3 linked regions of the Oryctolagus cuniculus genome follow. The protein of the gene in region 2 interacts with the protein of the main gene of each other region in a biochemical or structural test. Links are inferred from orthologs where the notes say so. Each region holds a gene or a part of one and is shown on either strand. Other genes may lie near its edges.

The links.
Region 1: the proteins of GJD2 (region 2) and LNX1 form a complex in vitro, tested with the Homo sapiens proteins (2 studies listed by BioGRID and IntAct, with this or other methods). The link is inferred for Oryctolagus cuniculus from reciprocal best matches to the Homo sapiens genes GJD2 and LNX1.
Region 3: the proteins of GJD2 (region 2) and LNX2 form a complex in vitro, tested with the Homo sapiens proteins (2 studies listed by BioGRID and IntAct, with this or other methods). The link is inferred for Oryctolagus cuniculus from reciprocal best matches to the Homo sapiens genes GJD2 and LNX2.

Annotation. Positions count from the first base shown.
Region 1 is NC_091439.1:110,327,372-110,338,310, reverse strand, and holds the start of LNX1 (E3 ubiquitin-protein ligase LNX), read right to left. Parts: upstream 5,212-10,939; 5' UTR 5,072-5,211; intron 1-5,071.
Region 2 is NC_091443.1:57,652,838-57,663,624, forward strand, and holds GJD2 (gap junction delta-2 protein), read right to left. Parts: upstream 5,174-10,787; 5' UTR 5,113-5,173; coding exon 5,042-5,112; intron 4,007-5,041; coding exon 3,112-4,006; 3' UTR 1,714-3,111; downstream 1-1,713. UniProt on the Homo sapiens protein: One gap junction consists of a cluster of closely packed pairs of transmembrane channels, the connexons, through which materials of low MW diffuse from one cell to a neighboring cell.
Region 3 is NC_091440.1:86,987,050-86,997,260, reverse strand, and holds the end of LNX2 (ligand of Numb protein X 2), read right to left. Parts: intron 7,311-10,211; coding exon 7,152-7,310; intron 5,427-7,151; coding exon 5,291-5,426; 3' UTR 3,218-5,290; downstream 1-3,217.

The sequences.
Region 1 (10,939 bases), on a different chromosome or scaffold from region 2:
AGCTGCCGAGTCCTAGGCAGCCCTGTATTTGCAGGGTCACTCACATAGGAGCGGGGAGACCACCCCAGTGAGCACCCAGCACTGCTCAGCACGGGGAGACCACCCCAGTGAGGCACCCAGCACTGCTCAACGTGGCTTAGGGAGCAGTGTTTCCAGGGGGCAGGCACTTGCTTAGGGATCACAGTTCTGCCCAAGGCTGAACATATAATCATTTGCTTTCAATCCATGAATAAGTCAGAATAACAAACATCTTTAGAGACAACTGGTAAACCAGATCGACAAAAGCCTCCAGGAGGAAGGAGCCACAGGTCGGACGGCTGAGTGTGTGTGTATAGAGGAAGCCGTGACATAGGCATGACCGTGATACCTAACGAGGAGCTTGCAAACACAAGGTGACTCACTGCTTGAGGCCGAGTGTGTGACGTTCTTTTCCGAAAGGGCCATGTGACTGACAACAGCAGTCATAGGCGAGTTATGCAAATCATCTAAACAGACAGCACTGGCATTCTTAGGTCTCAGCATCACCGTGCACTTGCCAAGAGGCGATTACAGCAAATGCTTGGAGCGCTTCCACTCTGCTGCCGGCACAGCCTTTCGTGTCCCTGTGACCAACGCATCAGACACAAGAAGCAAACAAGAGTCACTGGGGAATCATGGTGGAATTTAAGTCCACGCATTCCAAGTCGCAAATTAGCGATGCTACAGAAACAATGTCACTGGCTAATTGGGATGGAACCTATTAGCGCTGTTGGAGGAACGTGAGACAAGGACGGCAGCTCCCCAGGGCGGGGAAGTGGAGGAAGAGCCAGCGATGGCCACAGGCACTGCGGTTTGCAGGCCATCTTGTCTACCCCCAGCCCGAAGCAAGCATTTCTTCTCTCCCTTCTGAATCAGAACAGACCAGACAAGGAAAACTGCCCGTGTTGTTATGCAATAAGTATGCAAAAAGTTTGTTCCTTGGCGTGTGTTTCACATTTAACCTCCAAAGCCATCCTGAGGTCAGTAGTGCAACTGCCGTTTCCCAGCCGCCTGCCTACAGGTGATGCTGGAGAAATACGAATCCTCTAGGTCACTCACTCATTCACTCATTCATTCATTCACCCGCCCCAAACGCAAACGAGGCACTACATGGACTCAGTGTGCCCCAAAGAGCCCAGCTGCAGTGGCAAGGTCTGAGTGCCCCGGAGGCCACCTCTGGCACTCGTGGCAATGCTAATCCATAGAACGTTCTTCCCCGTAGGGAGCCGAAGTGCCTGTGAAGGTAACCAGCAGGGCGCAGTGGTGCCCGCACGGCACACAGAGCACAAGGAGCCACCGGCGAATGCAGGAGGGCTGCAGGAGACAGCACGTGCCTACAGGAGACAGGTACGGCATGCGCCTACAGGACACGGCCCGCATCCTCTCCTCCCGGTTCAGCTCCATGCAGGTTCCTGGCTCTGCGGCTCGCAGTGTTTTCCCGCCTACCCTTAGTCTTTGGGGACAGGAAATGCTTGAACCTCACTAACCCGGGCAGAATGATGCTGTCTTCCCCGCAAATCGTTTTGAAGAGGCCCTGTCAGAGGACAATGGCTTCGCTGCCCACATAAAAGTGTGCGTGTGGCTTGCTGGCCCGGGGCACCAGGCAGAGTCCCACCCGCTGGGGCAGCGAGCAGGCCTGGGGTGGGGGGAGAGCCCTCCACCCGGCAGGCTTATTCTCTCCACGTCCAGCGAGGGCTGCCAATTAAAAAGGGGCTCCTTTTGGCCACAGGCAGGCGTTGTGTCTGGTGTGAAGGCAGGGGTCACGGCTCCTGGGAGATCCACTGTTTCTCACAACCCAGCCCCACGGCCCGCACGACTGCAGAGACCAGGCTCGCGCTGGCAGCTCCCTGGCCTGGAGCTCCACGGTGATCAAGACCACCTCTGCCAGGCGGTTCCCCACCAGGCCGCTGCCGCCTTCAGGCAAACCTGCTTTGCTCAGTCTTTCGACCTTGACTTCCCACCACGTCTATCATTGCTGCGCGCGGACGGACGTGGACGGACGCCGGGTCGCCATACCCAGGGTGAAGCTGTTTCCCGCAATAATTTAACAAGGCCAACACTGGCGGAGCACGCACTACGGAGCAGGCACTCAGGAGACAAGACCGCGGTTCTCTGGCCTGTCATTCAGTGAACCCCACGAACATTTCCTTGGGGGGCTCATCCGCCCCTCAGGGTGGTCCGGCGGGTGCAGCCCACCCAGCTGCCTCTGGGGAGGACCCAGCACATCGTCGTTGCAAGAAAACCGACGGCAGGGAGGCTGAAGATTCTCTCTGCGGTGACCTAAGCAGCGACAGGTTCAAGGTCAGAAGCCACGGCCTCAATCCACTAGGCCTCTCTCCCACCTGCCCCCCTATTTTTAATTATTCACTGCGTTTATCTGAAAGGCAGAGAGACAAAGAGAGATAACTTCCTCCCCACCCAGCAATGGATGGTCCATTGCCCAAATGCCTACAACAGCTGAGCTGGGCCAGGCCCAAGCCAGGAGCCGGGAACTCAATCCGGGTCTCTCATGGGAGTGCAGGGACCCAGGTGCTTGAACCCTCATTGGCTGCCTCCCGGGGTGCGCATTAGCAGGAAGCCAGCTGGGAAGCAGAGTCAGGATTTGGGCCAGGGACTCTGATAGGGACGTGGGCATCACAAGTGTTCTTAGCCACTGTGCCAAACGCTCCAAATGCTGGCCATCTGTGTTATCCTTTTCGGGTAAGGTGAGACCAGGAAGGGCCGCAGGGCCCTGGGAACACACCTGCTCCTATGCAGTGACTCGGGGTCTCCGAGGGGCACAGGGTATTCCATTCAGGGCAATCATGTCCAACTGACCCACACACTGCCCTGCCATGACATGGGGCAGGCCCCAAACCAGCTGCCCTCCGCGCCAGTGGCTTTGGCACCATTGCGTCCCAGGCTGGGGTGAAGGGGGCTTGCCCACGAGACTGGAGAGGGCCCCCGAGAGACGGAGGGGTCTCCTGCCGAGTCAGCCTTGGCGAAGGCCACAGAACAGTGCGCAGCCCCCCCCCCCCAGCCAGGCCTGCCGAGAACCCCGTTCTGTGGGACTGCGACAGGTGGGAACCTTGGGGTGGACAAAGTCAGCCGTGGCCCCACTGCCTCCCGCCTCCTGGTTACTTTCAACCGATCACAACAACCGGAGGGAAGGGTCAGGCTCCCGAACAGTCGCAGCAGCCACCGGAGATCTCGCATCTTGGGAGGGGCTGACCACCTCCTTCAGGCCACCCTCGGGCCGGAGGCTCCACCCTCCCTGGGTGCCCGCTCAGCCACAGGCATAGGTCACTGGGAAGCCTGCACATGGGTGTGACCTAATTCCTTTCTCAGGACCACGCTCGGTCACAGTATCTCCTGTCTTTCTGATGACGTCACTGATGGTCAGTGACGTCCCCCACTCAAGGACTGTTCAATCCCTGTCCGTGGCAGGCTTTATATCCACTTGAACCAAGGTGTGTGGCCACCATGGGGACTCCGGACAGCGCTCGCGTGCAAAGCAGCCCAAAGGTGCCGAGCCCTAGGGTCATCCTGACTCGGAATCCCACTCTGTCACTTTGGCTTTGTAGGGGACCAAGCCTGCACAGCTCTGTCCTGTTCTGAGCCAGAGACGCTGACAGGTAGCAGTGGAAGGATCCTTTGGTCATAAATTGACTCCCACAAAAAGAATCGACCAACCACGGCAAAGCACAGGAAATAGCTCCAGAAACACGTTTTTATCAGGAAGATTCTGGATCCGGGGGCCTTTCTCTGACGGCAGAGTTCCGAATCAAATAAGAATTTCAGTAACAGACCGGCAGCAGCCACTCCCCAAACACATACAAGTCACAGGCGCAAAGCTCAGTGAAGGAAGAGCCGTGGGAGCTTCCTAGGGGCAAGAGAGACAGTGGCAAGGAGAGCAGGCGGTAAGAAGCAGCCGTCTAGGGCAGAACTTTTCTCGGCTCGTTCCAGTTCATACTCCTGGAGAATTTACATGCATTTTTGCATTTCTGGGCAACGCGTAGGAGCGTAATTCCAACAGAGTGTTCCTCGCAGCTGCTAACTTAAGTTTCAAAGTCAGCCCATGAGGATTCCGGAATGAGGTGGACTTCACTCTCCCCAACTTCCCAGCTCACCGCAGTCGGAAGGGGCGTTTGGAAATACTTCCTATCATTCCTGCAACAGCACGGGACGGGCAGTGTGGCTGCCAGGCTGCCCAGCGTGCAAGCAGCCCAGGTCGTGTGACCGGAATGAAGAAAACAAATACGGACCCCAGAGATAAAATGACCTTAAGCAATGTCTTGGCAGAGCGACCTTCTTGCTGTGTTTGCAATTAAAAGAAAAGGCAAAAGAGAAAAAAGCAGGAGCGTCCCCCCAAATTAAAACTCAGACCTAAAGTTCTGTTGCGGTGGCCCCGAGGGAACAGCTTTACGTGAGCCAGCAGTCAGCAGGCACCAGCCCGGCTCTGGATGTGAACAATCCCAGGACAGTCTGCAAGGTGGTTCCTAAGAGGGCCTTCAACAGAGAGCAAAGAGAATGCTCCAACATTCTGAAGAGGAAAGAGGAAGGGAGACTGGTGGCCGGGGCAGGGACCTGAGCAGACTTTTGGAAGGACACAAGCAAAGATCTCGGCACGAGATCCACATCGCCTCGGTGTGACGAATGCAGGCAGCAAGATAAAACAAGAACAAAAGAGCAAGAGCCGGACCGCTCTGAACGCCCTCCTCCCGGCTCCCCTCCCCCCCCCCCCAACGGGCTGAACAGGTCCGCGCCTTGCAGCCAGGTTTCAAAGATGTCTCCCTCTGCTCCCCTCCCTCGGTTGTAAAAAATCAGATCAACGTCACAGACGAGCTGGCGGGGCTGGACCAGTGGTTAGGCCAGACTGAGCGGATCAAGTGTCAGGCCAGGGACGGCTTCACCGCGCAGGTAGAATGTCAAGGCATCCGTCCACTCTCGGCTGTCCAGAGACTCACTCCGCCGGGGCCCAGGGCCAGGGCCAAGCCAATCAGCTCCCATTTCCCATTCAAACGCCTCCTTCCGTCCCCTGGTGGTCCACACGCCAAGAGAGAGCTCCACTCACCTTGTCCAGCTCTGACTCGGGGCTCCCAGAGAAGCGGCAGCCAGGAAGCTCTCGTCCCGCCTGGGTGGACAGAGGAGCTGCTTGGGCCGCCTGAACTGTGACCAGCCTCAACTTCAGCGTACAGGTGCCTGGGGGAAGGAGGAGGCCATTGGTTGGCCCGGAGCAGGAAATGTGTGACGTCACGGAAGCCCGGGCAGATAAAGCATTGCAGAGACCTTAGCGACTGCAGGAGTCAGTAGGTCCCGCCCACCTGTCATTTACCTGAATACCTGGGAGCTGGTAGGTGGCGTCTTTCCGCGGACAAATGAATCAGTTAGAGCAATTTGCCAGGCGGAATTTACTTTCCTTTCTGCGTCCGGCACGTGTCCAGCCCCGTGTACAGATCTGAATGCCTGTACCTGGTCATTCCTTCGGCTCCTCCCCCTGGCACTTCCTGGCTGCCTGGCACCCAGGCATCCGAAGGGGAGCTGAAACCTCGAAATGAGGCAGCGATTTGGTGGGTGCAGAGAGCACCAGTTTGCGAAGATCGAGTGCTTAGAAATATCTGCAGTCCACCCCCTCAACACACTCTCCCCATGCCCTTCTGAGTGGCGTCCACCTGGCTCTCTGGACAAGCTGGAGGCGACGAACAAAACCACTTTCCAGAAACCTCAGCACGACCCCCGCCTCTCCAAACACATTCTGCGTCGCACGCTCGGGCATCTGAATCCGGCCGTCTGGAATCTGCGCAGCGCCCGGCATTCCCACCTGCGCTGGCCTGCCAGCTCGAGTCACCGATGAGCCACCCACCATGGGCGCGCAATTAGCAGCGCCCGGTGACTCAGGTGCCAGCGCCAGCGCAGGAATGCGGCCGTGCCGCGGGGGCCAGGCAGGAGCGCTCCGGAGCGCGGGGCGCGACCCTGGCCCGGGGCTGGGTTGCGGCGCCTGCAGCCGGACTCCGAGGTCGCCCGCAGCCCGCAGACACGTGCTCCCCCCTTGAAGAAAGCAAGCGTGGGAGTTCCCCGTCCTGCTGCTCGGGGGCTCGGGGGTCCGGCCGGTTGGCGGATTGGCTGGGGTGGCACCTGCCGCCGCGCCGGCTCCCTCCCCCGGCCGCCCCGCGCGCGCTCAGAGGACAGCCCGGAGCTTTTCAAATAGGCACAAAGAACTTCTTTCTTCCCGACTTTGCCCAGTGGAACTAACGTAGGTGTGGCTGCCCCTGCGTGATTTAAAAACAAACAAAAAAAAGCAGGCGTTTCAGGAAAAAGCATGGGCCCACCCGTCCGTACGGAGCTGAGAATCCAAAGGTTGCCTTGCTCAGATATGGGTCTCAGAGGGGCAGGGCCGGCCGCCCAGCCGGCGACCCTGCACGAGGCCCCGCCCCACGCGCTGTCAGTCACGCCTCACCTGGGGCCCAGGGCGCTGGGCACACCTGGGAGGGCGGCGCCTGGGACTGGATTTGCGGAAAGGGACGGAGCCTCAGTGGGGCCTCCCCTGCTGGTTTCCCCTGCACAGCCGCTGCCCGTGTGGTCTGGTGAAGAAACCACAACAGAAGGTAGACCAGAGTGGAGCAACCGGAGACAGGGCGGAAAGCCAGGGGAGCTCCTGGACTTGGCATAATCCCCAAGGGGTAAGCAGAGGTGAACATGGGCCTGGTGATGCCACTGGGGCCCCTGCAGGGTCGCGGCCCGTGTATTTCTAAACCATTGGCGGAAACGAGAGAAGAATCAGGGCCCCACAGTTAAGCTGTGTGCGTCCTGCATCTCGGCCTGGGTTTGATCCCCAGTTTCCTGCCGCTGAGGCCTTGGCAGGCAGCACTGATGGCCCCAGTGCCTGGGTCCCTGCCACATTCGCGGGGGGGGGGGGGGGGGGGGGCTGGGTTAAGGTCCTGGCCTCTGGCCTCAGCCTGACCCTGGCTCCCCAGCTTTTGTGGGGGCTCTCTCTGTGTGTCTCTCTCTGCCTCTTAAAAAAACATCCTGTGAACTGAATGGCTGGGTCCTCCCCACGTGTTGCTTGCTCTTCTGAGCACTTCGTGGGTGCTCCAAGGCAGGTCCTCCTGCTGTTTGCCCGCGGCAGCTCAGAGAACCCAGGCACAGAGAGGCCGAGGAGCTGCTGGAGACGGCTCAGCCAGCACGTGGTGGAGCAGAACGGGCTTCGCCACTGGCAAGAAAGGCGGGGAGGCTCCTGATTCCACACTGACCGGGCACCTTCCTGGCCAGCACTGCGGCTTCGCCGGGATCCGGTACTCGGAGGGGAGTGCCTGGGGTTGGGGGCAGAGGGTAGCTTCTGGGAAGGGAAGTCTCGGTGAATTAATGCGTAGCCTGGCTGATACATGGGGTTTATTTGTATGGAACAATTAGACCTAGCAGTGCACTTATGCCTACAGGTGTACTTCAGAAAAAATTCATGGAAAATGGAATTAGAAGAGAAGTTTATGTTGGTACAAAAATTGGAAATCCATATTTTTTTTAGATTTATTTATTTATTTAACAGGTAGAGTGACACACACACACAGAGAGAGAGAGAGAGAGAGAGAGAGAGAACTTCCATCCACTGATTCACTGCCCAAATACCCACAACAGCCAGAGTAAGTCAAGATGGAAGCCAGGAGCCTGGAGCTCCAACCAGGTCTCCCACATAAGTGCAGGGGCCCAAGCACTTGGCCCGTCCTCTGCTGCTTCCCCAGGTGCGTTAACAGGGAGCTGGATTGGAAGCAGAGCGGCCAGGACTGTATTCAGGGCTCTGATGAGGGGTGCCAGTGTCGTAAGAGGTGGGTACCCTGCTGTGCCACAAAGCCAACACGACGGAACTTTTTCATCACACACGTTTCCCATAAACTTTTTGAGGACACCTTATGTGCAGGCATTTCAAAATTTTTGCACCCAAGTAAACTTGAGTTCCATTGTCCATGAACTTTTTGAAGTACCCTCCTGTATCGGTGGCAAAACACACCACCAAACCCGTCACTCCTGTGCACTGGGATCATCCATTTGGGACCCATGGTGCCAGCAGAGAAAGGGGAGACCAGCTTGAGATGCCCCTTGAGAGAACTCCCTGTAGCCCCTTGCCTCTCTAGATCTGAAAATCTCCCCAGAACAGGCATCAGGATGTGGAACTGCGCTCAGCTGGATAAGGTGGGACAAAGTAACGCTAATTTCCACTATAAACCAGTGCAGGGCGTGGGCGGAGGCAGTAGTGATTAGGGCGTGGGGGGAGGCAGTGGTGATCAGAGCCGTGTGTGTCGGGAGGAGCCCGTGAGGGGTGGGGGACAGTGTGTGCACCCTGCTGGAGGGAGGGGCCCTCCGGGTGCAGAATTTGGATGGGCGACGTGGGACCAGGTCGCAAAGCACTTCAGGAGCCCCTAGGACAGACTGCTTCCCGCTGGCTGCTCGTCTTCTGCGGATTAATGGCTCACATGAGAGAGAGAGACACCCAGCGTCTGGGGCACGGGGTCGTCTCTGAAGGGTGACGGTGTGGTCCGCGTTGGGCCGCTCTTCCACGGTGTGCCGTGTCGGTGGCCACATGCTCTTCTCTGTCTCTCGGAATGAGCCTCCTCCATGGCCAGAATGTGCTGGAAGCTTTGTTCTCCGCAGAGACAGGCGGAACACATTAGCGAGCTCTCTGAAGTCAAGGTCGGGCCTGTGCTCCTTGGCCAGCCGGCCGCTCGGGCTTCTGGATTGGTTTGAAGTCTCTGTATCCGAAGCAGGAGGTCTGCTCTGCAAGCCATGAAGGCTGACACTCCCAAGGACCTCGCCTGGCAATGACCTCTTGCCTTGGCCGTGCCTTGCGGTCTGGGAGAATTACTCTGCCCCTTTTATGCTGCCTGTCCCCTCCCTCTCCATGACATATTTGTAGAGATGGGACAACAAAATCGACAGAGCTCATGTGATTTTCATAAAAGTTATGTCTAGAAAAAGCCTCTCTTGCTCTGATTTCGGGAGGTATTTTGCGCATGAGACAGAATTGCTGTAGACTGACACACGCCGTATTCAGGCATCAGTTCTGTGCGTCTCCCTCAAGCAGCTCAGCTGCGCGGTGCTCACAGCGAATCACAAGTGCTCTGCATGATGCGAATGAAGAGATTCCAGGAGAGTTGTGGGAAATGATAGTCACAATGAGATAACAGTTGACGTGATGATGTCACCTGGCTCTGTGGGTGTGGGTGGGTTCCCCCCTCCTCCCTCCCTTCCTTTGATTTATTTGAAAGGCAGAGTTACAGAGAGAGGGAGAGAGAGAGAGATCGTTCATCTGCTGGTTCACTGCCCCCAACAGTCAGGACGGTCCAGGCTGAGCCAGGCCAAAGCCAGGAGCCTGGAACACCGTCTAGCTCTCCTACTTGGGTGCAGGGGCCCAAGCACTTTCCCAAGCTGCTCTCCCAGGCACATTAGCAAGGAGCTGGGTTGGAAGTGGAGCAGCTGGGACTTGAACCAGCATTCATATGGGATGCCGGCACTGCAGGCAGGGAGGGGTCAACCTGCTGTACCATAGCGCTGGCCAGAGACTCCACTTTTTTTTTTTTTAGATTTATTTATTTATTTGAAAGGTAGAGCTACAGGAAAAGAAGGAGAGAGAGAGAGAGAGAGAATCTTTCATCTACTGGTTCACTCTCCAGACACAATGGCCAGGGCTGTGCCAAGATAAAGCCAGGAGCCAGGAGCCTCCTCTGGGTCTCCCACGCCGGTGCAGGGGCCCAAGGACTTGGGCCATCTTCTACTGCTTTCCCAGGCCGTAGCAGGGAGCTGGATGGGAAGTGGAGCAGCCACTTTTCAATGCCTATGCTGTGTGGTTGGCAGAGCAGCTCCATGGGCACCCCTAGCTCAGGAGGAGATGCTGATGTAGCCTGGGGGCTGGGGGAGAGCAGACAGGAGGATGTGGGGGGGGAGTTAGCAGTGGCGGAAGGCGGCCCCCGTGCGGTCAAGGGTTCCCGCACAGGGCTGTGGCCAGCGCATCTCCCCTAGCAGAGCAAGAAGGAACCTTACTGTTGTCTCCATGTTTCACCTGGCCCACAGCATGGGGCCACGGATGTCGCCACGTGAGCTCCGTGCTGCCCCACGGTTGTCACGCTGTGTCTCTTTCTTGTGTCTTCCTCCGCCACTCCCTTAGCTGAGCCAGTTCCATAAATGGAAGATGTCAAGTGTCCCCGTGCTTGGTCCCTGGGGCCTGCTCCCGGGGGCTTCCCCATGCTGGGAGCCCCAGCAGTGTCAGCTCCCCGGCTACATCGACAGCAACGTTGCCCTCTGCTCCTCGCGAGCCAGCAAGTCTCAGGGCCACCCCTCAGGTCTCGTTAGCACCCAAAGTCTCCTGTCTGAGGATGTCGCCTTGTCACCGTCCTTGGCCATCTCCCTGCCGGTCTTCCCGCTCAGCCCCTCTGCCATTGTGTCCCTAAGCTCCTCTCCCTGGCCTGGCACCAGATGCTCTGCCCCGTCTGTGCCTGGCTGCCCACCAGGCTCACACACATCTCCTGACCCCTCCAGGCCCAGACCCTAGTGACAGCTTGTTAGAGGGGCATGGTCACCCCGTCCCTTAACCGCTCTGTCCCCCGGAGCCCACCTGTCCCATGGCTTTGCTGCTCCCCTTTCTGTCTGGGGAGTGAGCCCGAGCCCAGCTGCTCTGTGTTCAAGTCTCCTCAGGACAGGTGTCCCTGGGTGATGTTGCCATGATCACATCCACCCGTCCTGGGTAGCTCCTGGCTCATCCTCCAGTGTAGCTCTTACTATTTTTTAAAAAGATTTATTTTATGTATTATAAAGGCAGAGTGATGAGAGAGGGGGAAAAAAGAAATATTCCAGCCGCTGATTCACTCCCTAAATGACCACAATGGCTAGGCCCAGGTCAGGCTAGAGCCAGGAGCCTGGAGCAACCCATCTGGGTCTCCCATGGGAGTGGCAGGTG
Region 2 (10,787 bases):
TTCATATTTAATACTTTAAATAGTTGAGGGCTTTAAAATGTAAAATTCTTTTCTTTCAGCTTTTCTTTTCTCAGGCTAAGGAATTTCATTCTTCCCAGCTAGTCTCTAGTTCATGCACTGTCACAAACTAAAACAAAGTACACACACACACACCACACACACACACAGGTGCACCTGATCATATACATGCACATGTATGTGCCCATACACAGGCCAAGAGGGTCTGCAGTTCACCAAGATACTCTCAAATTTAAAAGATTATATAGATGCTGTCCTCTCACAAAATACAGTTTAGGTCATATCCGTCACGTAGCTGCATGAGCCATCAAATCATCAGCTTGATTTCTTCATTAGATAGAAAGCAAATGAATCAAAGGCTGCCACTAATGTGAGGGGTGACTATACTCTGAGAGTGGGTGTGTTTCACACTCCATAAATGACAAGTGAATTAATAATCTTTCTATTTGTGAGTGTTTGGAAACATTAGAGAAATGAAATAGATGAGCCCCACAGATCTAGGATGCATTTCCACCAGGAAGCACTACTGTTCTAATTCTACATCAAGGCAGAAATACAACAGACCTTGTTTTCCACACAGATTCCTACTTCTTTCACACCCAAGCATATGCTAAGATCTCTCAAGCAACACTCTTCCTCCATCTCTAAGAGGTGTCTTCAAACATTTTTAGCTTACCAAACACAAAACAAAGGAGGAGCTGTTTCTTTTCTCAAGGACAATTATCTTCAGCTGCTTATTTATACTGCCAATGGAAGCCTATACATTGAAATAAACATATTTTCCTTCTAAAATTGGCATCCACATTGCCATTGTTTAAAGGGTGCAATGATTGTGTATTGAAAGTAATCATCCAGGAAATTCCACATTGCTGTGCAATGTTCAATCTGAGTGCTCACTGGAATCAGAGGATACCCATTAAAGAAGTGAGGAAGAACATTAGCCTGCTGAACTAATGAGACTACATCTCAGTGGAAAGTGCCAAAAATGGTAGTAAATGTTGTGACAAAAAAAATTCTTATGACATGTAAGTAAAGGACTAATCCCTTTTGAAGAACAAAATAAGAAATGATTGATTAGAAGTCTAGAACATGCCTGTAACACAGCATCAACTAAAGATATATCGTATTTAAATTAATTAAAATTGAACAAGAAGAAATTCAATTCTTCATTTGCACTACTCCATTTTAAAAGTTCAGCAGTTACATATGAGTAGTCATTGACTTAATGGAGCAACACAGAAGAAATTTTCACCATTTCATAGAGTTCTATGGGATTGTACTGATCTAGATGATTTTCTTTGACTACTGGGTTAATATCATGTTAAACATCAGGCTCTGAAGAGGTCTTGGGGGAAAAGAGCATGCTTGCCAAATATAACAACCCATGGCAGGAAAAATGTGGTGGAAAGGGAGGAAAATCCAATCCTAAAATGAGCCAATATGATACAGTATTGACATCTGTATTACAAGAAATATACTTAAACAAGCAGAGTAATGCAGAGCTAACATTGAAATGAGTTAGTAACCACCAACTACTGTTTGAATGCTTCATTATTCCCCTCTCTTCATCCTGAGTGGCTAGTTGGATTTTATTGATCATCAAATATTGTTCCTTTATCATTCACTTCCTACCCCCATTCTTCTGCTGCTATAATATTTTTGAACATTTATTTAAATAAATAGGACCTCAGTCAAAATAGAAAAGTTCAGACTCTTCCCATTTTACAAAAAAGGCAAGAACTTTATTTTAAATAAATTTTCAGTTGTATATTACATCATGTTCATGTCTAAATCAAAATGATAATGATAATTTAAAGAAACCAGAGGGATTCATAAAAGCACATTATCCAAATATTACTCTTGGCCAATGCTTTAACTAAATACACAGTGGATGTGGAAGGTACATATGGCACTTAAATAAATAAGAGCAAAGAGAAGGAATCATATTCACAGTCCAAAGCAATAGGTTTTTGAACCTTTGGTATATGTCTCATATAAGCATCCGTAAACACATGTTAGCCAATAGTGTTTAGATCCATGTTTTTTAGGCCAGTGATTGTGTATATGTTTCAAAAATAATAAATAATAAATCAGGATTGACATGGGCTGATTAAGGTCTCTGGTGTGAGCACACAGGTAAATTCAAACCATGGCAAAATGATGTGCAGGTGTGTTTCACAACATAACTATATAAGAAAATGAGTGAGATACACCAGTTAGAAATTCTGTGGCTCAGGCAGACAACCTCGATATTAACAAAAAATATATTTTTTAAAAGTCCACAAGCTGGAAGGCAGAAATATCCTGAAGCTCACAACCACATGCCTAATAGTGCAACAACCATCTCACAGAAGTTGCATATTGTAATTCCCTCCCTCCCACCCATCCCCACCCTATTAAACAGCACCAGTGCAGTTTGAGTTTAAAAACTGGAAATAATGAGACATTCCTAAGGTTTTCATAATGACTATGGGCCAGTCATATGGGGCTCAAATGAAAACCTTTGCCATGGCCACTCTTCAAAAAGCACCCCATGTAATTCCTTCTAGCTTGCAGATAAACCATATTAGGTCTAATGTAAGGCCAGATTCAGGAAAAAAAAGCTGGCATGCTGTCCTGGGTTGAGGAAAAGGGACATGCTAATGGAGAGATACATAAAGGATCCTCAAGAATGTTTGTCCTGCAGCCCAGGATACAGGGATAAGTGTTGAAATAGCTCACAAATTTTGTATCAATGAAGTGTTTGACTCCCACCATTCACCAGGATACAGAGCTCAGCAGAGCTCAGGCCTACATGGTAGCTGTGCAACTTCATAGTTGTCAAGTTCAGGATGGCCCATAAAAGAAGAGGGACCAAAGAAATCCAATTCACCCATCTCATCCCAGTACCCAACTGTCTCTGTGGCAACAGGGATGTGCCACATGATATTGGTTCTGCTGTTTCTGCTATCCTATTGATGCAAGATCTTCTCTTAATGAGTCTTAGGTATGCTACATCTTGATGGTGAGAGTCACATACATGAGGGCAGATATAGTCACCCTTAAACAGTCATCTGCTTTGAGGCTACTTGCTATTCCCCAGGCCTTCCCCTTTCACACATAAGCAGAGTCACTGGACTGAGTCCTGCCAAAATTGGGAACACTGACCCGGGGCAGGTCCTTGTTACGGATCTCATAGACTGACTTCCTCTTGGCCTGGGCCCCTCGCACAGCCAGCTTGATTTTGCGCCATCCCAGGTGGTTGAGTTCAGCCAGGTTGAGTACAACACAGATGCCACTCACAGCAAACATGAACACTAGAAAGACGGTCTTCTCAGTGGGCCGGGACACATAACATTCCACCTCCTTGATGCAGGGGTAGCGGTTACACTCATACAAGCCTGGGACGCTGAAGCCATAGAGAAAGTATTGGCCCACCAGAAACCCAATCTCCAGGGCATTTCGGAACACCACTTGGATAATGTAGAAACGGGAGATGCCTTCCTGCCTTCGAAGCTTGGATTTTGCTGCAGTGCGCATCCCTGATGGGTGTGGAGTCAACTCCTTAACCTCTAAACAATCTGGCTCTGTCTCCTTGCTGGGGTTCTCTGGGTTCTGCAGCACCCCATTGACAATGGCATTTTGCAACTTCTTATCTTCTCGTTTCCCCCCACCACTTCCCCCACCTCCGGTTCCTCCAGGACCCCCCATGGAGTCTGGAGGGTCTCTGTCCAGGGATAGAAAGACAGTAGAGTAACGGCGTTCTCGCTGTTTGGCAGACTGGTGCACAGAGTAAGTGATAAAGCAGAGGCTGGGGGTACACACCATTATGATCTGGAAGACCCAGTAACGTATGTGGGAGATGGGGAAGGCGCGGTCATAGCAGGCTTGGTTACAGCCGGGCTGCAAGGTGTTGCACACAAACATGGTCTGCTCATCATCGTACACCGTCTCCCCCACAATGGCCACAATGAGGATCCGGAAGATCACCACCACAGTCAACAGGATCCTGAGAAGGGGAAGAGGGAGGGAGAGAGGTTCTCACCGGCTGCGTCACTGGTAGGAAACCCCTGCTCCTCCTTTCTCTGGTCTGGTGATCACCAGTCCTTTAACAGGGGAGCTGTCCATCCCTGTGTGGTACTGAACTGGGAAACAGGAAACGATTTTGACTCTTCCTTATATCCTGGGTGCTACTGAGCTGAGAACTCTTCAAAATTACAAGGATCCCAGCCATACTCATCACCATACACTGGAGATGATCTATTTGCAACACACAGACTTCATCCTTATCTGTGGGATGCATAGAGACACCAAATACACATTCACTTTGGATTTGGCAAATTCATACAGAATATCTGAACAGATAGTGTATGTTTCAGTTACTACAGTGTGTGTATATAACTATTCCATGTGTATATTTTAATCTAATCTCAATATGAATATTTAACTTTATGATATGTAGAAACGGATAGCCATGAATATTTGTTCATATATATATGCATGAATATATGTATGAAAATAGATATGGACCGAGATATAGACACACAAAACTGTCAGTTGTATGTGTAGATTCCTGCAACTATATTTTAACTAAAATATCAGTTTTGTTTAATAACTGTTGGGAAAACATGCACCTGCTCTGAAGAGCAAATCCATCTCCCCATTAGCCCTTCTCTGTCCAAATGCAATCCTGCCTTCTTTGTAGATGCTATTTAGAGAACCGGATGGAGATTGGCTCTGACTCTCGAGAGTGGGGGACCAAGATTGATCCAACAATTCCTTTTCTGATAAGGGAAGAATGAACCACCTCCCCCAGGGTGCTTTACAGGGAAGGGATTGGGGAACCTAGTCGGAGTAGCTGGAGAAGGGTGGAATCTCTAGGCATCGGGTAATCCTTCAATGCCGGGAACACAGGTGCATGGACCCATAATGATGAGGAAGAGGCAGAGCACGGCCTGGGAGCTGTGGGGGTTCTGTCTCGACTGAGGAGGGGTTCCCAGGGGCCGCCCGACGGGCCCGCGGACGGCTGGTTTGGCGTCCTTACCTCCCGATCATAGTGGAGTGCTGCTGCACCGCTGCTTCCAGCAGCCTCTCCAAGATGGTCCATTCCCCCATCGCTGTGCATCCGGAGGCAGCAGACAAAGACTGGGCAGCACCGGGCACGCTCTCGCTGCTCCTGGCCCCTCCCCGGGGCCGCACCTCCCGACCGGGAGAGAATTGCCCCCCAATTTAAAAAGCAAACAAATTTTTTAAAAATCCACGATCCCTCTCCCTTTTGTTTGTACTTAAAAGAGGGAAATGGGGAAAGAAATCCAAGTGCGTCCCGACTGATGGGGCAATTAGTGCGGTTCGGAGAGCGGGCACGAACCTGCCGCACCGTCTGAGGGTCGGGTCTGGGTCCCGCAGTGGCCGGGACGAGGGGCTGGGCGGGGCTGGCAGCTTGCAGGTCCAAGAACACTCGCCCGCTCGAGACAGGTCTCTCTGGGAGCCGCTGGGCACCAAAGGTTAGGGGGCTGCGGGAGGGTCCCGGCACCGGCCCCCGCGCCTGCCACTTCCGCAGGCACCTGGCACTCCCGCGCTGCGCCTGTGAGGCCCGGGCTGAACGCGCCGAGCTGCCTGCCGGGTTGGGGAATCCGCGGCCGCCGCCTCTAATCCGCCCTTAAGTAGTCTCCGCCTGCGTCACGCCAGGTCGGCGGAGGGGAGCCGAGCGCCGCGTGCGGCTGTCGCTGCGCGTCGGAGCCCGAGGGGCCGGGGACGCGCGCGGGGGGGAGAGGGGCAGGAGTCCCGGGGCCCGGCGGGGAGTGGGGCGACTTCGAGAGGAAGCGCTGCAGCGCCCCTTAGGGCTCCTCGGGGCGCCCAGGTAACCTCACCTGACCGCCACCCCCCTGCAGGAGGAGGGGAAACCCGGAGCAGACGCGTGGGTGAGTAGGGAGGGACGCGAGTGGGTAGTTTTCTTCTCCCCGTGTGTTCCCTCACCTTTCGCTTTCTGCCTTCGGGGAGACCACTGCAGTTCTTTCTCTAGACGGAGAGTCTGGGCGGGGGTGGGGGGGCGCTCTTAAATCTGCCTTGAAAAGGACAACGTGGCTGAGAGTGAGGCTGTGGTTCCGCGTCTCCGTGGTGGGTCGGATGCCGGATGCTGGGCTGAGAAGGCTGGAAGAGAGTCCATTTTGGCTGCAGAGTAAATGCAGGTGCGAAGCTGCTGGAGGCTGGGGTCTAGCTGCAAGCGTGTACCTAACAGGTGCCTGGCAGTGAGTTCGTGCGGTGGCTATAGTTGAAGCCTCGCTCCCTCTCGCTCCCGAGGTGCAAACACGGATGCTGTGCAAGTTTTACTTTTATTTATTTGTTACTAATTGGAGGAGGGGTACTTTTCAGGTAATCCACAATGGTTGGGATTTAAGGAGACCCAGTATTCTGTCAGCAGAAACTGGACTCTCATCCCCACCCCACCTCCACCGCCTTATCTGTCTTGGCCTTCTCTGATTCTGGTTTCTGATTTTAAAATTACCCATTTGTTGTCAGTTCTGTCTAGAGAAACTACCTAATTAGTTACTGGAAAATTGAAAGAATCACACCAGGCTGTTAATTAGCTCAGAGGTCAGTATTAAGGAGTCTCCATAATCAGGAGTGGTTCAAAAAAAAAAAAAAAGTTTGGAAATCACAAGGGATTGAGATTGTCATCCTTTTAGAAATATAAGTGGGAAAGAGTTGGTGGCTCATTTTAGGCATAAAACAAGCTTAAATACCCATGGGGATTATAGTTATTACATAAGCCGTACCTTGGTGAGCCTTCAGTTCTAGAACAATTGACATGGTTGGGTGGCTGGTGGCCCAGGGATTGGGAAGACAGGTGCAGAGCCTGGCTTGTTGCATAAAGTTGTGTTTAAAGACATGACCCAAGCTTCCTCGGCATCAGAGGGATTACTGAGATCCCCTCCTAGCAGCTTTTCATGGCAAAAGGGTAGACAAGTTCACTAAAAAATGGGGAAAGCTATAAGGTGTAAAGGGCACATTAGGACTAAGGCAGGTACTACTTGGTGTTCGTTTGGGTAGTGAGGAGGTGCCTGGTGGAGATGAATGGATCTCCTAGTATCCATTTGGCTTTTACCTGGAATGACGATTCCCCAACTCAATCTCTGTGTTTCCCTAGGCTTCTTTCCTGCTCCCTAAGGTCTTGAGTCAGTATTTGCTTCTTTTCTGGAAGACACTTTTTGCATAAAGGATCTTAGACAAGGAGTAAATGATTGAAAAAGCTCTAAAGGAACTCCGTGTAATATTTTTAAATATCCCCGAATCAGCTGCACAACTCACAATTGTGTTCTATCCTCTGGCTTTCTCAAACCCTTAATGATAGTAATCCTAAAGACAGAGATTATAGGAAATACATTTCAAAAGTTTTCAAGCACTGGGCTATTACTGAATTGTCAACCATTCACTTATTTTTTTAAAGATTAATTTTATTTATTTGAAAGAGTTACAGAAAGAGGTAGAGACAGAGAGGTCTTCCATCTGATGGTTCACTCTCCAAATGATGGCAACGGCCAGAGCTGAGCTGATCCAAAGCCAGGAGCCAGGAGCTTCTTCCCGGTCTCCCACAAGGGTGCAGGGGCCCAAAGAGTTGGGTCATCTTCTACTGCTTTCCCAGGCCATAGCAGAGAGCTGGATCGGAAGTGGAGCAGCCGGGACTTGAACCAGCGTCCATATGGGATCCCGGCACTGCAGGTCGCGGCTTTAACCCGCTGCACCACAGCACCAGCCTCCACTTATTATTTTGAAGTACACTTTAATATTCCAGATAGATTCATCACACAGACACATGTATACAATGTCGGTGTATAAATGCACAGAAGGCCGGCGCCGTGGCTCACTAGGCTAATCCTCTGCCAGGTTCTAGTCCCGGTCGGGGTGCTGGATTCTGTCCCGGTTGCTCCTCTTCCAGTCCAGCTCTCTGCTGTGGCCTGGGAGTGCAGTGGAGGATGGCCCAGGTCCTTGGGCCCTGCACCCACATGGGAGACCAGGAGAAGCACCTGGCTCCCGGCTTCGGATCAGCGCAGTGCGCCGGCCACAGTGCGCCAGCTGCAGCGGCCATTGGGGGGTGAACCAACGGCAAAGGAAGACCTTTCTCTCTGTCTCTCACTGTCTAACTTTGCCTGTCAAAATAAATAAATAAAAAATGTACAGAAATATTTGTACACAAAACCTATATTTTAAGACTCATCTACGAAACTAGGTCACCTGTTTTTTAAATCAAAACTTTATTCTCACCACCACAGTTTGAAAACAATTTTTCATTTTAAATAATCATTCCCAAGTTGTTTTACATTTACTATACTGTGCTTCCTCTTTTGAACTCAGTCAACTAACTCTACTGCCAATTGATAATTCTCCCTCACAGTGCTGCATTAGATGTGAAAATATTCCAGGTGGACCTGGTCATCTCTGAGTTTCCTCAGGGTGTCATCTCATCTTCCTAGGTTCTGACGATTTCAAGTCGTCTCTTGTTGAAAATACCTCTTGATGTCAACTGGGAAGTTCTTTCTTATAGCACCTATTTAAAGCCCGCTTCACTCTATTATTTTTGAATCAATAGAGTGCAGATCTCATAAAACGCTCATAGAACAAACTTTGCTGTACATTAGAACATCTAGAGATGTTCACTTAAAAATACAGATGCTGGGATCCCATTCTAAGCCTGCCAAATTAAAAATCTATAGAAGTGAAGTTTAAGTACCTACATTATTAATAAGTTCTTATCAGTGGTTCTGATAAAAATGCAAATTTGAAAACTGTTACTTCCATGAATATTAGGGCAGGAAGGAATTCTAGAGATCAGGATATCTCATTCCCTTGTTTTATGGATGTTAATACTGACCCAAAGCTTAGGTGGTTTGCCAAAATCACAGAGGTAGCAAAGGAAAAAGCTGTGAAAAAAGGGGGAATTAAGAATCTTAGAGAAGAAGATTGACATAATTTAAAGGGATGAAAAATACCATTTTAGTGGAAGGAAAAGGGAGTTAAAGTGGTTTGAATCAGGGGCATAGCCACCTGCAGTCATCTAAAGGAAAAATAATACCAACACTGTTGTCCTGCAAATCTGTCTTATAAGCAGTAATATTCCTTTACAAAGTAAGGAATTATTCCTCACATCTAGTGGAGAAAATGGAAAAGGTCTATAAAAATGTCATTGTTGAATATTCTTTTTTTAAAAGATTTTTTTTTATTTGAAAGTCAGAGTTACATGCAGAGAGAAGGAGAGGCAGAGAGAGAGAGAGGTCTTCCATCCGCTAGTTCACTCCCCAACTGACCGCAATGGCCAGAGCTACGCCAATCCAAAGCCAGGAGCTTCTTCGGGATCTCCCAAAAGGGTATGGGGGCCCAAGGACTTGGGCCATCTTATACTGCCTTTTCCAGGTCATAGCAGAGAGCTGGATCAGAAGTGGAACAGCTGGGACTCAAACCGGCACCCCTATGGGATGCCAGCACTGCAGGTGGCAGCTTTACCCACTAACCACAGCGCCAGCCCCATTGTTGAATATTCTAAAACAAGGAGAGAATGTAGAGTTACTAACCATGATCTCACATACTACATAGGTGTGTCTGTATTTACTGTTATCCTTTTTTTAAAAAATAAAGATTTATTTATTTGAAAGGCAGAGTTGCAGAGAGAGAGGGAGAGACAGAAAGATCTTCTATCTGCGGATTCACTCCCCAAATGGCCACAACAGCCAGGGCTGGGCCAGACCAAAGCCAGGAGCCTGAAGCTTCTTTTGAGTCTCCCACATGGGTGCAGGAGCCCAAGAACTTGGGCCATCTTCCACTGATTTCCCAGGTGCCTTAGCAGGGAGCTGGATCAAAAGTGGAGCAGCTGAGCTGGTGCCGCGGCTCAATAGGCTAATCCTCTGTCTAGTAGCGCCGGCACACCGGGTTCTAGTCCCGGTCGGGACGCCGGATTCTGTCCTGGTTGTCCCTCTTCCAGGCCAGCTCTCTGCTATGGCCCAGGAAGGCAGTGGAGGATGGCCCAAGTGCTTGGGCCCTGCACCCCAAGGGAGACCAGGAGAAGCACTTGGCTCCTGCCTTCGGATCAGTGTGGTGCGCCAGCCGTGGCAGCCATTGGAGGGTGAAGCAACGGCAAAGGAAGACCTTTCTCTCTCTCTCACTGTCCACTCTGCCTGTTAAAAAAAAAAAAAAAAAAAAAAAGTGGAGCAGCTGAGACTCAAACCAGCACCCATATGGTTCCCAGCATCTCAGGCAGTGTCTTTATCTGCTATGCCACAACACCAGTCTCTGCTCTTATACTTATTTATGCTTATGACTTCATTCTTTTTTTGACCACAGATTCCCAGGTGAACATTTCAGCTTTGCGGTTTCAAGGATTTGATGAATGGAAGCTCATAGGAAGCTTGTATATTCTACAAGAATGACAGTTAATCTACTGACTTTTACCCTACTGGACCATAAATTCTTACAGAACAGAAGGCATACCCTGTATGCCATGGTGCTTTTCATAAGTTTTTGTTTTGTTTTTTAGCATTGTGTAAACTCAAACATTTGTTGAAGGGTAGAGTAACTACTTTGATTCTCTATTACCTTTGATCTGGGAAAGCTACACAGTCTCTGAGTAGAGGTGTGTTCCAGCTCTTCTCTGTGAACATATGTATGCTCCAGCCCCAGAGGAGAAAGTGGCCCCCTTTCCCAAGAGAAAGTCCCTACACACTTGGGGCAGCCTGGACCTCTCAGTAGCAAACCTTGCTACTGCAGGCATTTTGCTCTCATTTCTATGCTTTGCTTGCTCA
Region 3 (10,211 bases), on a different chromosome or scaffold from region 2:
GACTTCCCAGCTCCCCCAGGCTATGGAATCTATTCCCCTAAATCATGGAGGAGGTAAGCCCAGGGACTGCTTCTCTTCCTCTCCCCTGGCTTCTGTAGCCAGGGGCGTCGCATGGGTGCCACGTGGCAGGGGCCGTTAGCTGAGTAGGGGTACTCGGATACTCAAGACTGTGGAGTCCACAGCTGCAGAGTGCAGGCAGGACAGGTGTGGTCTGTGTGCTGTGATGGGAACCATGGAAACGCGAGGGTAGCTGGAGGGCTGGCAGGGCTGGGGCCAGACCAGACAATCAGCAGGCCCAGGCATGCCTGGCAGAAGCCTGGTCCTTGGGCAGCTCAGGATGCTGCCTGAACCTGCTGACTAGCATGCTGTATTTAGGGAAACATAAAATATGGAGGGTGACCAGATGTCCGAGGTCAGAGGAACCTCTGAAAGTCGCTTTATTACTTCTCTGATAGGCAGAGAACAGAGCCCTCACCTGTTAGTTCACTCCTTGAACATCCACCTGTGCCAGGCTGAAGCTGAGAACCAGGTCTCCTATGTGGGTGGCAGGAAGCCATCACCTGCTACCTCTTAGGGTCTGCAGGAAGCTGGAATCTTTTAAGTAGAGCTGGAACTCAACCCCAGGTGTTCCCATATGGGATGCAGGTGTCCCAAATGGTATCTCAGTTGCTAGGCCAGACATCCACCCTCTAAAGTTTTTTTTTTTTTTTTTTAAAGATTTATTTATTTATTTGAAAGGCAGAGTTACAGAGAGGCAGAGGCAGAGCGAGGTCTTCCGTCCACTGGTTCACTCCCCAGATGGCTGCAACAGCCGGAGCTAGGCCGATCTGAAGCCAGGAGCCAGGAGCTTCTTCTGGGTCTCCCATGTGGGTGCAGGGGCCCAAGGCCTTGGGCCATCTTCCACTGCTTTCCTAGGCCATAGCAGAGAGCTGTATAGGAAATGCGGGAGCCGGGACTCAAACTGGCACTTGTATGAGAAGCTGGCACTGCAGGCGGCGGCTTTACCCACTACACCACGGCGCTGGCACCCTAAAAGTTGTTTTAATTAATGTCACTTGCTGTGATTATTCCCAGGAGTGAGTTCTAGCCATAACTACCCACCACCAGTTAGCACAGGGCGTCAGCCACACTCCTGGGAACTTACAGCAACTGAGCAAGGGCTCATTCTTCTCATACAGGTAAGAGTGCTTCCTCAGTGCCCCTTCTCTGCCCTCGTCCTCCGCATGGTTCCTCCCCACCTCCCTTCCTCGTTTACCTGCTTGGTTTTCTTCCCTCCATTTATCCCGTGAGAGATTACGTTTCTTCCTTCTTAGCCTTGATTACGTCCCCTCTTTACAATGTAAGCACAGAGGCAGCAACAACTCCCTTGGGAACTGGTGGATTCTGAGCCCCTTCAAGCAGTGCCTGGCGCACACTCATAGTCGAGGCCCAGTACATATTTGTGGAACAAAAAGAGGAATCAAGAAATGTTTTGTGTACCGTGCATCCCTCTTAGTTAAATATTAGAGGTAATAAATGAAGCTATTGTCTTCCTCCCAGTCTCGACACTCAAGCCAGGGAGAGGGCATAGGACAAACCATTACTAAAACACAAGCGCTTACAAATATACACGCCCCAACAGAACAAAAGCATGGGATGAGGTGGGGAGGTCCCTGTCGTGGGAAGCATTCGAGCAAGAGATGCCCATGTCACAGAATGATCCCTACACCCGAAGGATGGATAAGGCACTTCCAATTCCACGGCTCTGATTTGGGATCCACGGGGGAAATGACTATATTGGGTGTAGGGACTCGGATGACACCAGGACATCCCATCTTTCGAAGTGACAGGAGAGGTGGCGTGATCTCCTCTTCCTCAAACGTTTACTGATTTTGTTCAGAGTAAGTTTTGTGGCAGTGAGCACCCCCCACCCTCCTCTGGTGCCCATTTAGCTTAGCACAAGCTAGACCTCAGGAGTAGGTGTCTGGTCCAGGGCTGTTGGGAGGCCTGGCAAGGAGCTGAGCCCTCACCCTGAGGGCCCGCGCCCCGGGGAAGGAATGGGAACAGAGAAGGGCCACCCTACAAACCCGCGCTGGAGTGTAACTCCCCTGGGAAGTCTGCTGGTGGGGAGGCTCAGGCACGAGTCGACGACCTGAGACAGCCTCAGATTAGTTGCAGAGTAGGTTGTAGATTTAAATTTCCAATAAAATCTGGGCAAAGGTAATAAAATCTTTAACAGCTGCCCCACCATTACAAGCAGGACACTGGACAATGGCCGCTCCTCTTCCCCCAGTCTAAGCAACAGACGTTTCTAACTTGACCGTTTTGGTCAGTCTTCGGGAAACCTCAGAAGGGGGTTGTGGTTGGCTGGATTCAAGGAGCACGGTGAGCACTGACCCAAGTGTGTGAAACAGCCCGTCTTCAAAGTGATGTTTGTGGGTGTTAGGAGAACTCAGGTGGACAATCTCCCAGTGTTTCCCAGTCAGCCACACCCTGGGCTGAGCCAACCTTCTCCTGGGAGAGGGCACGCTCTCTGCCACCCGCGATGCACTGCTTCTCCAACGCAGCGCCCACGCTAGTCTTTTATGCTTGCATGTCATTCAAGTTCTAGCCTCTCTTATTTCAGGCACTTTGTAGATATTAGGTATTACACATACATGCACAACTTGCCTTCTGAAGAGCTTGTGTTGCCATAGAAATTAATTGGCAGTGCGGTTAAATGGAACAGATTTACACTAGAAAATGGCGAAAAGAGCTACCTACTAAGGACCCCCAGGGGCTGAAACCTTCCCTTCCCCCAGCAGAGAAGGAAAAAAAAAAAAAAACTCAGTTCATGAACTGCTGGTCTGTGAGCGGGGCAGCAGTCTATGCTGGTGGCCTGGCTTATCAACAACTCTGGACAAATGGAAGACAGGTTGGATTACCAAAGAAGGGATCAGGCGTTATGAAGAAATGTTCCAGAGCCACATCGGAATACGTAAGGAGCGACTGGTGAAGTTAAACTCTGATGGTGGACTCTGTGGGCCCAACATCGAGCCCTGGTCACATTGCAGGTGCTCAGCAGCCACGGACACTGTACACCGCCGGCCCACAGGTGCTGTGCTGGTAAAAATCCCGCATGCCAGTAGCTTCTCTGGGTCCTGCCTACGGGAATGAGAACACGCAGGTGCGTTTGTGGTCCTGAGGATCCGAAGTTGAGTTAACATCTGCTGTCTTCTAAGAAGGGAGAAAGGGTCACTTTTACAGAAAGGATGACTTTTATTTCCATCCTGAACGATTATCACAACATTGTTTAAACACATCTGAAAAATCCTGAAATAATTTAAACTGAAGGCACAGGACAAATCAAAATATTTAACTGTGAGAGAGTGAGAAAAATCCAAGTACTTTAATAGTAATAATAAATTACGAACAAGCTTCCGTCACCAAGTATCATTCTTACCAAAAGCTGTAGTCTTCTGTTGTAATATCTAGACACTGAAGCTGATTCCAAGATTTCCATGATTAAAAACAATGAAAAAAAGTCTTCTTTCAAAACACTATACCACCAGGTTGAATGTAAGTAGTAGTAATGATATTTGTTGATGGACAGCCCCTCCCTAAGAAATGACACATCTTTATAAACAGCTTAAAAAAATAGCAAAATTGTTTACAAAATTCCATTTGGGGAGCAGAAAGAAATCTTGTTCCGTGTCCATTAGAACATCAGAGCACTGCAATATTCAATAGCTTCAAAAGCCAGTCATCACATAACAGTAATATACTGTATGGGCACTCCACTGTCTCTTGGTCACGGGCTGACCATATAGCACAACTAAGGGATCAAGGTCGGTAGCAATTACTGTCGCTAATTTCTTATTTATTCCAAAGACATATGTTTTAAAAAGTCATTATAAAAACTGTAATAATCAGTGAGTGACATGCTACGGATACAATTAACCCCAGCAATGCAGTTGCTAAGTCTGAAGATAAAGTGTTCATGCTTCATAATACACGGTAGTATTCTCAAATACATTCTCTGATGATCAATACCATTTATTACAGAGGTCACTTGTAAATTAGCTCAGATTCTGAACTAGGTTTCTAAGGGAAACATTTTTTTCAAGTATGCATAATTATTAAGAAGGTGAAAAATTTTTCTTATTCACTCCTTTATGTGTTCTCCAAAGGACAACCATATTGAATAAAGACAAACAAAATAGGCCATAGATTTCAATAGTATTTAAAAAAATATGAAATAGTCTAGTGACCAATAGCTGATTCAAAGACATTAACATCTAAAATCTACAATTTCAGAGAAAAAACAGAACTGCTTTGACTCTTGTTTGAAACAATTAGGCTCATAAGAAATAATAGGAAATATAAAGGTTTCTAAGACACTCAAGAAAGACTCTTATCTGAGTAAAATAAAGAGGTCTCCTTTCTACTTAGCTGCGATATATGTTTGTATATTTAACAGCAATATGGTTTTAGCTTTATCATCTAGCTTAATTACATGAATCACAAAAACATGTCCAGCCAAGATTGCTGGTGAGTATAACACAAACCCTAGAAATGATTTTTAGCAAAAACTGCTTCAAACTTTTCCCACATAGCAAAATGTTCCTTTGGAAGTAAATCTTTAATGCTTGGGGACTATTCAAGTAAACACAGCTTTTCTCCATCTCCAGCACTAAACTATCATTACCTTCTAAATTCCTTTGTCATTGGATAACATCTTTTATTCTCTACTATTCTAATAATAGTTCCCTATTTTTGTTTTAAAGTCTATTTAGTGGTATCAGACTTACGTCTGCATCATCTCTAAGTACTGAGAGATTAAAGTAGGAATAACACATACCAGAGAAATTATAAACAGGATGAAGTTCTGAAATGTTGGCACTGATGAAAAATGGCAAATGGTTATCACGCGTATTTGAAAGGCATGCACTCACGGCAGGCCTGTCCTGGGATATGTAACTTGTTGTGTGACTCGGTACTGAAGACCGAGCCACCAGAAATTCTTTCATCAGCTCGCCGGGTCACAGTTCGAGGGGGCTTCATTCACTACTGTAAGTAATATTTTTAAACAACTGATTGTCTGAATTAAAAAAAAAAACAAAACAAGCTCATAAGGGTGAGTGGAAGACTGCTTCGGAGCTAACAGAAATGATTGAAGTACAAACAGAAGGACAATCACGGTGGGTTCTGGCCCCGTGTGTACCAGCTGTGCCAGTAGTGCGGAACCAGACACACAACGAAACCAAAAGGTTTTTTTTCAAAAACCTGAAAAAGGAAGATGCAAGCAAGGCTGGCAACCGATTTCCAAGACCTATACAAGGCTGCCAGGCCAACAAATAACTGTCAGGGTGACTTTGTTCCTCTGTTCCTTCAACATGGGAACCAATGCAGAGTGGCTCATGCCCACGGTGGACAGGCCGTTCACGGCCACGATCATGTCTCCACACCTGGACAAAGACAGACAGAAACAGAACGTTACCATTTCCATGGCATTAAAAACATTATCCCGGTTGAGATTTGCTTAGGGTGAAAACTGCAATGTCACTTATTGTGAGAGCCATCTGGGGCGATTCTGAGGCCCATGCTGGCTTCCCCTTGCCAACCAACCTGCGCCCCTTGGGCCATCTACTCCCATAACTGGCAGGTGACATCTTAAGCACATGCAGAATAATTTCCCTCTTTTAAAGAAACAACGAATAATGCACTTGAAGGGAACTGGCTATTGTTCTGACTGTATTTCTGTTTTTGTCCTCAGAGCTCACACATCCAAGAGTGGAACTAAACTGAGAATAAGACCCGCACTTCCTCTTCTTCCAGCTAATGGCACTCAATGCCTTCTAAGCAGCATGACCATAGATGGATGGTGAATCCGAGGATCCTTCTAGCCTTATGGCTGTAATGATCCTATGTAGCCTTAGGAGTTCTGGTCTTCAGTTTGTAACGTGAACGAAGATGCCGTTTCAGTGGTATCGACTTTAATTTCTTTTCGGAAGTGGGCAGAATGTACACTGACAAACTGATCCAGGCCTGGCTGAGCAGCACAGCTAAGAGGAGCAGCTCAGTGTTCCCCTACTCTTCCTAGACTGAGAAGATGTTTCACCTTTACCAGTGGAGACTGGCCTGGAGCTCACGGCTCCTGCCTGACTTGTCACAGCAGTGTGTGGGGCCACTTTCTCTTGGAGGACAGGTAGTGCTCTAGCTGTGCAGGATTCCGTCCAGCACGTCAGTGTCTCCTTCTTAAGAGCCGCTTCTTCCATCAGAATCGAGGCCGTTAAGAAGCTAACACACAGCCTCTTCCCCTGGTGGAGGCATTTTCTTGGCACCTTCTCTTTCTTCTCCTAGTGCCCAAGCTTTGGAAAAGAAAAGTGGCTGTGGCTGGCAGGACAAGTGCCTTCTGCCCGGTGGCGGCAGTTAGCAGAGGGCTGAGGCCAGGCGCTGGGGCCAGACGGCCTGGTCTGTGTGCCAGCCAGCCACTTTCAGCCACTTGATCCTGGACAAGCCTCAGTTATCGAGTCTGAAAAGCAGGAATAGTAATGACACTAACCTCACAGGGTTGTTGTTAAGAAGATTAAATAACGCCCGCACAGCACTTAGCGCTGGGCCTGGCATACTGGAAGCCTCTGCACATTTGTCCACCCAAGATTTATTGAGTTCTTACTCTAAGCAAAGCACAGTCAGACTGCTGAGGACAGAACAATACAGCCACAGAATCCCACCCTCACGGGGCTTGGGTAAACACGCTGTCAGGCAGAGAGGAGCGCTGCGGAGGAACGTAAAGCAGAGTCATGATGACAGGCCTGCACCTGACTCGAGCGGGCTGCCCGATCAGAATGCGTCTGAAGGACACAGGCCCAGGTCCCGTCAGCGATGGACAGAGACAAGATGGGAAAGAGAAACTTCAGCTTAGATCAGGGGCTGGCAAATTTTTCCCCGTTGAGGGCCCGATGGTAAGTTTTAGGTGCTGCAAACTGCACAGTGTCTGGCACGAGGACTCGACTCTGCCGCTGGGGTGCGCAAGCAGTCACAGACGAGGCCACAAATGAGCACGTGTGGGTAGCACTAACGGTTTATCTATAGAAATCGACGACAGGGCTTCGCGCGGTACTGCCCCTGGTCTAGACCGCGTCTGGCACAACAGACAACAATCGATCCTTCACTAGCGCGACACTCACTTCAGTCTTCCATCATAGTAAGCAGGGGTTCCCAGGACAATGGTTTTAATGAAGAAAGGCTGATTGGTGTGGTTCTCCTCATAGCCACCAACGATACTAAATCCCCAGCTTCCCAAGTAGCTTCTTCGTAGAACTATATCATGGCTGCTGTGAAGGGCACTACAGACAAACACAAAAATGAAGAAAAACAAACGTGAGGCTATTACAGCCAGATCACCCTTGCTATACCTCTACCATGCTACACTTGCCGCATTTTTTTTTTTTTAAGATTTACTTTATTCATTTGAAAGGCAGAGTTACAGAGACAGAGAAGGAGAGAGACAGAGGGATCCCCCATCTGCTGGTTCACTCCCCAAATGGCTGCCAACAGCCAGAGCTGGGCCAGGCAGAAGCCAGGAGCCAGGAGCCTCCTCTGGGTGCAGGGGCCCAAGCACTTGGGCCATCCTCTGCTGCTTTCCCAGGAGCATTAGCAAGGTGCTGGAATGGAAGTGGAGCAGCTGGACTTGAACGGGCACCCTATGGGATGCCGGTATTGAAGGAGGCGGTGTAACCCTCTCCACCACAATGCTGGCCCCATACACTCACCACTCTTGATGGAAGGAAAAAAAGATCCTTTATTGCCCTCTGAATATACAATTTTGACAACCTCCTTTCCAGAAAGTACAGATGCAGTCCTAGGTAGACATGAATTTCTCCAACTCTTTAGTCTCCCCAAGTGAAAACATACATACAAACACATCTACAGAGGTGCCTAAATCAACTTGGTTACCAATTATAACTCAAAACTCTGCACAAAAGCTTCTGTGCCTATGTTTGCTCACTGCATTGTGGACAAAGTCTTCAATTCTAACACACATTGCTATCTACAAGAGTAATGACATGGTACAGAGGGGTCCCAGGACTGCTGATTTCAGCGCTCAAATGAAAGAAAATGACCAGAGATGTAGCTTCCAGAAGGGTGTGAGATATGTTTCCCCCTTTGTGGCAGGCACACCGCAGGGTCCACCTTTAGTCTAGACGGGAGTTACTTACTGTTCATTCCTCCTTCACCTGCAATGCTTTTGTTTTAAGGGAGACTCTACTTGCCAAAACAGGGGGCTCAACCTGGAAAACACTAACAAAACATATCTGGTTTTCCCTTCTTTTCTACATCATGCCATTGATTTGCTACTCCAAGCTACTGCCAGGAGGACACTGTGCAGGGAGGGAGAAATAAAATCAAATCCACTCATGCTCCCATAGCTTTATGGACCCGGGAACAAGTAGCAAGTAGAAACTTAAGCAAAGAACCCCATCTAAATGATACAGAGGAGGAACCTATGGTAAATAAATATCCTCAGTTTCAGGTGAAATTTGATCTTGGGCCTATAGGTGTTCTGTTCTTAACCCCTTAACAGGTGTTTTAAGAAAGCTGACTCTGGGGACCAGTGCTGTGGTCTAGCAGGCTAAGCTTCTGCCTGCACCGCTGGCATCCCATATGGGCGCTGGTTCTAGTCCTAGCTTCTCCTCTTTGGATCCGGCTCTCTGCTATGGCCTGGGAAGACAGCAGAAGATGGCTCAAGTCCTTGGGCCCCTGCACCTGCATGGGAGACCTGGAAGAAGCTACTGACTCCTGGCTTCAGATTGGCAGAGCTCTGGCTGTTGCAGCTATTTGTGGAGTAAACCAGCAGATGGAAGACCTTTCTCTCTGTTTCTCCCTCTGTCTGTAACTCTACCTCTCAAATAAATAAATAAATAAAATCTTTAAGAAAGAAAGCAAGCAAGCTGATTCTGGAAAGTGATACATAACCCACCACGAGTTCCAGCCTGGTCTTGTCTCCCAGGTCCCTGGAAAGAAAGGGCTCTTAGAAAGGGGATGCAGCGAGGCTTATGAGCTGGCCTGGATTGCTAGAGGCAGTGTAGGTTAGTTTCATTATTCTGCCTCTTCTACAGCAACCAAGCCAGCAGTTCCCTGGTGCACCCCCCAGCAGTCTGCAGTAGAAATCTCCCTTTCCAGGAAGGCAGAGCTGAAACCACTCCTGGGGCAGCCACCTGCTCCCCAGGGGAGGACCCATGGCTGCTGAACATGGGTTTGCCTACAACAGAGACCTTGGAAAAGCCACAGCACGCAGCCTTTTATTGACAGGTATTTTTTTTTTTCTGTATGGTTGACTTAAAAAATAGATTTTACTATTCTGTGCGTCTCTCCTGAAACCTTGGCTATTCTGCCTGCTATACCAGGAGATGCTGTGCGCACAGCAGTCAGTGTGTGTGTGCTGATGCCACAGTTAGACTGGCACAACAGGTGAGGACCATTAAGCCTAGGCACTCTGCTATGGGATGCAGGTATCTGTCACCACCAGGCCCAACATCTGCCCTTTATTTTTAACTCAGAGATAATTCAGGCTATCAACAAACAAGAGCCAATAATATCCTTGCTTTTCTCTGTGGTTCTTTATATGAAAAGTACTATATAAGCCATCATGTACTACATAAATGCTAGTTATTACTTTAAATTTATTCCACATAAGTCAAATGACTCAGAACCTGGTGCATTCTTATTGCCTATTTTTATTTTAAAGAAATCAGCAATTGTCAGCCTAGAAGTCACAGTTCAGAGTTCAGTTTTAGGACTGCTACATACAGTGACAATTGAAACTGATCTGGAATGAAATAGTAAGTGTGACACACATTCTACCTGTCTCAACACCAGATAACACAACAGCCTGGAGAGGAGTGTGCAGCCAGGGAGGCGGCTGGAGGCCCCCCACCTGCTGCTGGGCTCCCCGGAGTCAATGAGCTGCACATTGTCTTCTTAGGCACTGATGGGAGCAGTGAGCTCCTTATAATGGTGGAACAGCTGCTCTTGAATACCAACGGTTTGGCTTTGAGACACACGTGCCCAGCAAAAACTTCTTAGGGAGAGTTCAAAAGAGCTTTTAGAGAGGTCTGTAAGATGGGGCAAGGCCCTAAGTACTGGCTTGGTTCTTCTGGAGAAAACTGAGTGTGCCGTCTAAGTATATTTCAAAATCAATGCCGGTAAACGACAGCTTTTCTGGGTAGGCAACCTCATGGCTACCC